2 linked regions of the Daphnia pulex genome follow. Each later gene encodes a partner of the first gene's protein in a complex. Links are inferred from orthologs where the notes say so. Each region holds a gene or a part of one and is shown in the gene's direction. Other genes may lie near its edges.

What was found. Proteins that work in one complex are often made in the same cells at the same time.
Region 2: exosome component 10-like (region 1) and exosome complex component CSL4-like share a complex: the UniProt entries of both Caenorhabditis elegans proteins name them as parts of the RNA exosome complex. The link is inferred for Daphnia pulex from reciprocal best matches to the Caenorhabditis elegans genes crn-3 and exos-1.

What each region holds. Positions count from the first base shown.
Region 1 is NC_060022.1:1,681,616-1,687,292, reverse strand, and holds exosome component 10-like, read left to right. Parts: upstream 1-2,105; 5' UTR 2,106-2,288; coding exon 2,289-2,339; intron 2,340-2,410; coding exon 2,411-2,547; intron 2,548-2,610; coding exon 2,611-2,722; intron 2,723-2,782; coding exon 2,783-2,893; intron 2,894-2,961; coding exon 2,962-3,330; intron 3,331-3,399; coding exon 3,400-3,543; intron 3,544-3,602; coding exon 3,603-5,183; 3' UTR 5,184-5,329; downstream 5,330-5,677. Other genes in the region: transmembrane protein 98-like, read right to left, coding at 677-775, 884-1,075, 1,189-1,450, 1,520-1,689. UniProt on the Caenorhabditis elegans protein: Catalytic component of the RNA exosome complex which has 3'->5' exoribonuclease activity and participates in a multitude of cellular RNA processing and degradation events. Involved in apoptotic DNA degradation.
Region 2 is NC_060026.1:7,115,018-7,119,438, reverse strand, and holds exosome complex component CSL4-like, read left to right. Parts: upstream 1-1,813; 5' UTR 1,814-1,832; coding exon 1,833-1,968; intron 1,969-2,028; coding exon 2,029-2,147; intron 2,148-2,242; coding exon 2,243-2,312; intron 2,313-2,368; coding exon 2,369-2,547; intron 2,548-2,630; coding exon 2,631-2,837; 3' UTR 2,838-2,866; downstream 2,867-4,421. Other genes in the region: protein SERAC1-like, read left to right, coding at 3,001-3,068, 3,142-3,467, 3,551-3,675, 3,746-3,862, 3,927-4,194, 4,267-4,421. UniProt on the Caenorhabditis elegans protein: Non-catalytic component of the RNA exosome complex which has 3'->5' exoribonuclease activity and participates in a multitude of cellular RNA processing and degradation events. Involved in regulation of antisense ribosomal siRNA production.

The sequences.
Region 1 (5,677 bases):
GGTCGATATGGAAATGTCGCAGCTTTTTTTTATTTTTCTAAAAGAAATAAAAATACGGGGGGATTCAAACTTTCATTATTGACCATGGTAATTTTTTTGTTTGGTTTGGTTTTCCATACGCTTTCTTTTGTTCTACCCAATTTGGTGAAGTGCGGCTCCGCAATGCCCACCCCGAAGAGTCAGACTTTTTGGCATTTTCTGGTATTATTTGAGAGCGGAGTCATCGATCGATTTCCTAGAACTGAAACTTTTTGATAATGTTGTGTAAGCCACAACGTGATCTGCCGCCAAACTTTTTTTCCCCCTCCTCGCTCTCTCTTTTTTTTTTTAAAATTTAAACGGTTCACTACACACCCGAGTCCAAAACTTGTTTTTCACGTGGCAGACGTAAACAAAAGGATCAGAACCATTATTATTTTTGAAAAAAGATAAAAAGTTGCCAAAATAGTTTGGAACGAACTTTGATTGATAACGAGTGGTTACATTTAAAAAAGGAAAATACAAAAAGGATAGTTGAATCGTTAGAGCCATTAATAAAGGTACATTACTTGGTCAGACGTTATAATGAGTCCACTGTAACGAACATTGTGCATTTAGGTTAGTGAGGCTAATTTTGTTAAGATACGTTGTGATATTTTGGACGGAGATTACGAAGGTTTTCGAGATTATTCGTGTTTCAAGTCATGGATGATTCGACTATGGTCACACCTTCCCTGTAAAGATTTCGTTCGTTCCATAATTGAGTTTCAGAGCGCCGGGCGATGGCTTTGAGTTTCTGCAGTACAAATTAATGAAAAGTTAAGCAGATAGTATCGAGAACATTCAGAGCCAGTTCGCGTTTCCAAGCAAACAAGTCGTGTAGCATTTAAAAGATGCACGTTACCTGGTAATGCATATTCATCTCTTCGAAAATAGCTGATGGCCACGACACATTGCATGTTCGCTCGGTGAGTTTGCTCAAGCGGTTGACAGCATTCAAGAGGGCAAAGGCTCGGATTTCGACATCGCGTGGTTGAATGGGTGGGCACATGGAACGCAAGACGTCGTCAACTAATGGAAGGACAGATTTTGCAACCTAAAACACAACAGAACTTTCAGACACATAGTAATCTTTGGAGTGTCACAACTGAATTCCAACATAACAGAAATGCATGCAATTATTTTTCTTTTAGATAATGAGAGTTGTACCATTGCCAATTCAACAAATCTCTGTTGATCTGTAGAAGCCATAGCTGTAGTCACAAGCCTTTCACTCATCAAGTGACAGCCTTTTAAAATCTGAAGGCAATGAGGAACAATTCCAAGGGCATCGTCCACCCATTTCCATCTGTGAGATTCTAGAACTTTGTCCAAGTCAGGGTGAATCACTAAATCTTCAGGATCAATATTGTCCATGATGTAGTCTTCATCTTCCATCTCTAGGCTACTGATTAGATGAATATCAGACCTACTGGGAAATTCAAAAGCAAAATTACTCCCAACTGCGAAAGAAGTCTTTGTTCGTTTTTGAGATAGTTACCTCACATGGAATCCATTCTGCTGCACTTGTGGGCTTTGTTCCTTCTTCTTAAATTTAGAACCAAGATTAAAGCAACATAGTTTATATCTGCATATAAACAATAGCGCAAGGAGAGCAGCAATGAATACGGAAGTCAAAATCCCTCCAGTCACAACGACAACAGCGTGCATTGTTATGTGCTGAAAAAGAAAGCAATATAAGAAAATCTTTCGATCGTTTCAAGCGTCTGTCATATATTAGTTACCTTCGCAAAAACGACAAGTTTGGATGACACAGTGAACCTTTATAAGTACTCAATAACGAAAGTCCAAGTTAATAAACAACTAGTGCAAACATTTTTACGGCGGGATTAAAATTGTTATTATTTTATGGAAAAGAATGATGGTCAAGGCACTTGTTGATTTGTTATTTTCGGGGAACTTTTATAACGCCCTTGGCAGAATTTTAAAGCGCAATAGCATTTTCAAATGAATAAAAAATATTTAGTCGTGGGTTGAAAAATATTCTAAATTTACTAAATATTTTACTTGTTCATAGATATTCAATTAATTAAGTAATATAGATCCTTTTTAAGTTTAATAATAAATAAATCAACTGTTTAACTAACGGTGTATTACATGCATAATGTAGCAGACGACAAGTGGATTCTGAAAGCATGATTCTTTGGTCAACGGCGAGACTGAAACAAGGCGATTCACGTGCTTAATGTTTTCTGTGAATAATCGCAATAAGATTTTGTTGCAATTGATGATCAGAGAATATTTTTAAAATGAGTGAAAAAGAAAGTGAGAAGAATGGAAATGCCCAAGAGGTTCAACAGGTAGAGCATTGGCTGGCCAAACATTTTGAAATTTCATATCAGTCACAACTTGATTTTCTCTGTTTATTTAGAAATTATTTCAAAGTGCAATGAAGGTCACAAAGTACTCTAATGAATTACCAAGTAGTGGTTCAGACTGGGATTACTACCAAAGTTATCCAGCATATGCCAGCGCAATGAAAGAATTTGGTGGTCGCATTACTAACTTGTGAGTTACAGCTACCGTTAAGTATAAGAATTTTGTTTGATCCTAAAATTTTTATTTGTCAAGGATGACCACAATTTACGGACACTATGGACTAACAGGAAAGGTGGGAAAATTGGATTTGGAAGAGCAGATGGAGCTGGTGTCGGACAACAATGACATCTTGATGGAGCGAATAGTATGCTACTAGGAATTATTAGAATTTTACACCTGTTAAAAAAAACTGCTTTCGTTTCAGAATCTTTCTCTAGATGAAGCTGCTGGATTAAAAAAACAAGCAGAAACTGTAGTTGTTGAGATGATGGCAAAAACTACAAATATTAATGGCAGTTGGAATCGGCATTCTGTGGTATCTAGTTTTTCATACCAATTGTTGTCTTAGATGCTGAATCTATAAAGTATTCATCTTGTTTACAGAGTTCACCAGCAACCTCTTACAAACTTCTTTCTGCTAAAAACATTCTGAGACCACAGTTGAAATTCAAAGAGAAAATCAAGAATTCACCTGGACCGTTTATCCCCAAAATCAAAGATAAGCCTCATTCGTTGAAACCACTGGCGATACTATTAGAATTGAATGACTTGGGCGATGAAGAGTTTAGCCATCCGTACGAATTTGAATTGGAACGTTTTACACCGGATCCAAAGTTCTTCACCGTACTTGATGAAGTGCCTCCATTCCCAAGTGTTCAAGAAATCCCTTTGGTAATGATAGATACTGAAGAAGGTTTAAAAAGTCTTTTGAAAGTTTTGCTTGAGGAAACTGTGATTGCTGTAGATCTGGAGGTATTATTCACTGTCTAGCAGTTTTTAAATTGGTGAACCTTATTAAGTTCCTTAATTATTTATTGCCAGGCCCATTCATATAGATCCTTTCAAGGCCTAACATGCTTAATGCAAATTTCAACAAGCAGTTCTGACTACATTATAGACACTTTAGAGCTATGGGATCAACTACAGCCTTTAAATGAAGTTTTCTGCAACCCAAAGATTGTTAAGGTATGAGCTAACTGTTTAATTGAAGAAGTAACAAACTTATTTTGTTGGTTTTCGTTTAGATTTTTCATGGAGCTGATATGGATATTCAGTGGCTTCAGCGCGATTTCGGTATCTACGTCGTTAATCTTTTTGACACTTATCACGCTGCCAAATTATTGGGTTTTGCACAGCTGTCCTTGTCCTTCCTCCTTCGTCATTATTGCCAAGTTATTGCTGACAAACAATACCAGCTAGCCGATTGGCGAATTCGTCCCTTGCCTGAGCAAATGGTCAATTATGCTCGAGAAGATACCCACTACCTAGGATACATTTACGAAAAGATGAAAAAGGATTTGAAGATGAAGGGAACAGGAGATAATTTGCTGACAGCAGTTTGGCAAAACAGCCGACTGGTTTGTCTCAAACGTTACAGAATTCCCCCTATCACTGCCGAAAGTCACTTGGAATTGTATAGGCTCAGCAAGAAGATTTTCAACGAACGTCAGCTGTTTGCATTAAAAGAACTGTTTGCTTGGCGCGATCGAATAGCTCGAGAAGAAGACGAGAGCACTGGTTTTGTTCTACCCAAACACATGTTGTTACAAATCGCCGATGTTCTACCTAAGGAGATGCAAGGTATCCTTGCCTGTTGTTCACCTATCCCTTCGCTCGTTCGTCAGCATTTACTTCATCTCCATGGAATCATATTAAAAGCCAGAGAAATGCCTCTCGCCACTCTACAACATCACGGCCAGCCATTAGCCATCCCGAAAATGATGCCGACTCCATTGGATCAAGACACCGAAGACCCCCTTTATTGTATGCACGACTTGACACATTCTCAGGACATCCGAGACGACCTACCCACTCTGCTGAATCCGCAAACGATCGAATCAATGGCGTCAAGATCCGAGGAGTTTGGAGTCCGCGTCACTGTAAAAGAGTTCCCACAAGCTCTAATCTTCGCCGAATCGGCTCATTCTGGCATCGTGACAAATGTATCAACTAATTTTGTTTCTCCATACACGAGATATATTCGTGTCAGAGCTCTAAAGTCGGCCGAAGAAGCCGCAGAAGCACAACGTGTCGAAAAGTTGCGCCAACATTTCATGGAAGAAGTGGCGCATTCAACACCCGATGCCCAGCGTGAAGCGGAAGCGATGGAAGAAGAGGCGGAAGCAGTAGCAGTAGTTCCTGCGAAGAAAAAGAAGTTGGCGTTGAAAGCGCAGGGACTTAACAAGAAGAAGAAGAAAGTAGGGAGTACTAAACGAGTAACGGCTACTCCTGAAACATCTGTAATTCCATCAAACTCCAGCTCCCCATCGAAAAAGTCGGCGGATGCAGTAGTGCCGTCAGCATCCAAGAGCCCTAATCCAGCAACATCCAAGAGCCCCAATCCAGGAATGAAGAAAAAATCATTAAAACGACCGGCGAGCAAAGAAGCAGGAAATGACAGCGGGGCTAATTTCGAACCATTTGATTATTCCCAGGTTGATTATCACGCTTTTAAAAGGAGCGCACTGCGTGAAGATGGTGATGGACGCGGTCGGGGTCGAGGAAGAGGCCGTGGTGGCAAAAACCGAAGAGGTGGTCCCGGACATAGCAATAACAGAATCCACAGAAAGGGTGGCCAAAAGAGTCTTACGTATTCATCGAAATAAGTTAATCTACACTCTTTTGAAAATTAATTTTTGAACGTCGTATTCTTGTACTGTTGTGGATGAATCCGTGAACCTGTTTATCCTCTCTTAAAAATTGTTCGATTTTCAATCGTTTTGAAGTAAACAAGACACCGTTTGAAAAGAAAGAAGCAATTTGTCGTGTCAGATGTAATGGCGGAATCTGAATTAGCAAAAAGCTCGAGAACATTACCCTTTGGACGAGTCCTTTGGATATTTGAAATATGACGACGCAGAGTAATAACGGAAATCAGCAAAGTAATTGGGACACTTGTGGCAAGCTAATGTTAGCAGCGGATGAATAACCATCCGATTTTAATGGGACTTTAACCATTTGATGAATGTCGTGTTCTAGGGTTTCATTCAGGGTTTCCTCCCGGCTGATTGCAACATACGTACAACTACAACGAAATCCTTTCGTGGAATGAACGCGGTAATGACTTCTTTTGGGGTTTCCCTTGCACAGAGCTTGCGGT
Region 2 (4,421 bases), on another chromosome or scaffold:
CACCCCATTCTGACTTCTGAGAACTCCGGCTCAACCTTCAACCAACCAACTGAACAAGGTCAAGGGGGGAGACTAAGGGTGACTCACTTTGTTGTTGTAAATAAACCAGGTAAAAACCCAACAAATGCGTTGCGTTTTTCAAAAATGTCTTACTATAAACGAGTTTTAAAACTATTCATCCATAATGATACGAAATTTTATAAAATATCCATAATTAATATACAATAGCTTACTTTAATTTAACTCTAGTTTTGTTGGATCCAAACATAGTAAAATAAAAAAAAACGAGAAATTATTTTCGTGTTAACTTATTCCAGATTAAGGTTTATAATCATAAGAAAACAAATTAAATGAAAAATTTTCTGGGATAACTTTACAATATTAAACGTTCCATATTAAATTATAACTTTCCTAGTCGTTAATTCTACATAGTATTCATATGGATTCAAAAACGCTACAATTTTTTTTCTTTTGAAGTTCATCTTTCTCATATGCTATTTGATTGATTTTTATGAAAAAAAAATCATAAACATCCCTTCGGATACCTTGCTAATAACGCAGGTAGCTGACATCATATCGTGACATGTGTTTTTCGAAAAAATAAAATTTTTGTCATAAAATTTGTTTGTAATTTTACCCTATGCATCTTATTTTAAAAACCCAAACCAAACCTAAAAGTTTTACCATTAAGATTGTTCTTGGTTCAGAAAGGCTACCAATAGCCGTCGCCAGGTGGCGGTTTTAGCACTGACAGGGCAATAGCTCTCTATGGCTATTGCCCTGTCGGACCGGCATGGCAATAGATTTCACGCAATTTGCTGGGACATGGCAGCTTTGTCAGGGGTATGGAGAGAAAGGTATGGGGGTCTTTCCATACCCCTGGCTTTGTTAAACACACTTTCCGTACCATGTCGAGAGTAGGCATGGTCGAGAGTACTCAAGGCATCATCTTATTGGGTAAAATGTGGCATCACGTGACTTTTGGCAACGTCTATTGGGAGATTGACTGTGTGCATGGACTACTCTAATTAAGGACGGGATTCTTCGCCTATCCTGCCTTGTTAAAGCTAGTCGGGTGGGGTATTTTCATGAAAACATTAATAAAAAATATCATTAAATTCAGTTTTTTTTGCTGATTCCAACTATAGATATAAATCTTAGTGAAATAAACTAATCATTAAGATATTATAAATTTACTTTCAGAAGTAGGGGTAAAAGGATAAAACACCGGTGCCATCTAGCAACCAAACACCCTAAGCTCTTAAGAATATACGCTACAAGGTAAAATATAGTTAGGCAGCTATGTCAGAGGACTAGATAAGAGAGTGGTTTTTTCTTTCTCTCGGTATGCATGCATGGGCATCTGCTTGCAAACTAACAAGAGCTTAGGAGGTTTGGTTCCTAGATGGCACTGGTGTTTTGCCCTATTTCAAATTTTTCGTTAAGGAATTGGAAATATCTCTATAAAAATAAATGTTAGGTATAGGGCTCTTCGGGATCTGTTTTATTTAGCCGATTTATCTGGCAACGCAGCATGGTTCGAGACTTTTTTAGGGCGAGAACGGGGAGAAGAGGGAGAATGGGAGGACACCCTCCTCCCTCCCATTCCTCCCATCCTCCCTCTTCTCCCCGTTCTAGCCCTAAAAAAGTCTCGAACCATGCTGCGTTGCCAGATAAATCGGCTAAATAAAACAGATCCCGAAGAGCCCTATAGGAACATATGGTAATTCTATGATAATTTTTAAATTCTGATTCTGATTCTCCCACAAAAAAATTTACATGGCCGACATAGGAAACGCCGAAGAATATACCGTCCTTAATTAGAGTAGTTCATGCTGTGTGCACACTTAACGAACCCCACCCGTGAGCCGCCCAGCAGTCGACGTTTTTTTCTAACTTCGAAGTTGTTCTGGTGTGCGAAAAAAATGACGAATAAAGAATCAGACAAATGTGTAATATGCACTCCCGGTAATATTAAAAAACATATTTTTTTAGTTGTCATTTTGATAAAATGTTTGCATTTTTCAGGACAACGCATATGTCTGTCGGATAACCAATATATTGGAGGAGCCGGAACTTACACAAGACAAGGTTATATCACATCATGTTTAGCAGGTGTTGTTAAAGTAACTTCACAACCTGATAAGGTTAGTGGTTAAACAGTGAAATTAGATCAGTGAAACAATTCATTTGGTGTGAAATAATGAACTTCCGAATATTATGTTCAAACTTTTCTTCCTAGAGAATCCTGATAGAGGTTAGAAGTGGTAAAGAACAGACAGTTGTTCCATCTGCTGGTGATGTGGTTACAGGTACTGTTTAAATTATGTGTTGAATTTTGTGAATTTCATCTTAAACCTTTAAATAGCCAGAGTAACACAAATAAATCCTCGCTGGGCACGATGTGCCATTTTGTGTGTTAAGGACATTGTATTGGCAGAACCCTTTAGAGGACAGCTGAGGAAAGAAGATGTGCGTGCTACAGAAAAGGACAGGGTTGAAATGTACAAATGTTTTCGTCCCAATGACATTATTTTAGCAAGAGTGGTAATTATTTGATTTTGATCATTATTTCAACTGTAAAGTGAGTATGACTTCTAAGATGAAATTTTTTTTCATGTTGCTGTTAGCTCTCATTAGGTGATGCACATTCCTATGTTTTGTCAACAGCAGAAAATGAATTGGGTGTTGTTATAGCATACAGTGAAGAAGGTACTCCTATGGTTCCAGTAGGATGGCAAGAAATGCAGTGCCCAAAAACTTATGTTAAAGAATTGAGAAAAGTTGCAAAAGTTTCGCCAGAAACAATTTCAAACGAAAATGCAACAGGCGTCTAGATTATATTAATACATGAAATTTGACAACAAAGCTTTTCGGATTTTATTTTATTGGTGTTTTGTCGACTGCTTGCGTTTCTGTTCAATTCATTTCATTTTCTCCAAGTTCCTTTTTTCTAATCATAATTTATATTCTTATAGTTTTTTCAAGCATGTAAATAAAATGAGGAAACATCGCCAAGTGAAATGGAAAAATTTGCCGAAATCTCTAGCTGTCATTTTTATAATTGGGTATTTCAATTCCTAGCGAGTTCTTGTAATCAGCATATAGAAAACTACAATGTATCTTTTCTTTTTTATGAAGAGGAGGAACTACTCTGGCATACCAAATTCATTCTTTAAACCGCCGGTTTTCATCTTTATTGTCAGATGCCGCAGTTGAGAGAGAACGTCAAAAGGCTGGGTGCTATATTGCTATTCCTCAAACTGTAATTGAAACTGAGATTCATGCTATGACCTCTAAACTGAAAAATGTTGAACAAATGGTGGAGACTCTTATGAAGGGACCAACACATCTTGGTCTTGATTCAAATCCCTGGCATCTTCTTCGAATTCTTAAATCAGAACTCCCTTCTCATACTCAAGAACACTCCACTGCTTTAAAAACATTGGCTACTTCACATTATAATGGTATCTTCAAATATATTATTTACAGATTATGGTTATGGTTATAAAGTGTAAAATAACTGCTGATTATTCTTTATATAATATAGTTGGATTATCCCAGCAAATTGCCCAAGCATGTGATTTCAGGGTTAGTGTCAAACTGGCAAGAACAAAAAATGTTAACCTAAACTTGTTCCTACAACCCCCTGCTTACATAATTTCAACCTCTGAGGTTTTAAATTATATATTTAAAAGCTTATAAATGATGTGTCTTTTAAACAATCCTATATCCTCTATTATAGCCCATAGAAGATGTGTTAAACCACATTCTTGACAAAATTCCTACCTCCAATCAACACACTTGTGCTACATATTTTCTTAGCATTGCTCAAAAAATTACTGAAAAAGACAAAGATGAAGTAAGTATTTCATTTATGTAGTAGTTGATGAAACTTGTATAATATGATTCATTTGTTATTCCAGGAATTCAATCTTAGATGGGATCCTGATACTGCTAGAATTATACATCCGGGAAACATTGTTCAAATCGTAGAGCTGTACTTACAAGCTTTATTGGAACTGTCTCGTTCATTCGAATCCTCAATTTTAATGGTGCAAAATGGACTTCTTGTCGCGCTCTGGCGAGTCGTGCATATGTTCAACAAGGAAGCAGCGCTCAAAGCATTGTGTGTTAATATAATTGTGAACATCTCTTTATTCTCTCAGCTCCATCATCAGATTTTTCAATCAGGTATACTGTATAAGAATTTAAAACGTAATAAATTTTACGTAAAAAATTAACTTAACCTAAAAAATTAAACAGGTTGGATTGGCCTTTTAGCAGAATTTTTTGGTCCTCAACATGCTTCTCTAAATTTAGCTGCTGGAAAAGCTCTAGCTAATATGGACCAAAATAGCCGCAAATGTGGAGTATATGATAGATCAGTTTACCTGCTGCATCCGTTGTACGAGGATAAG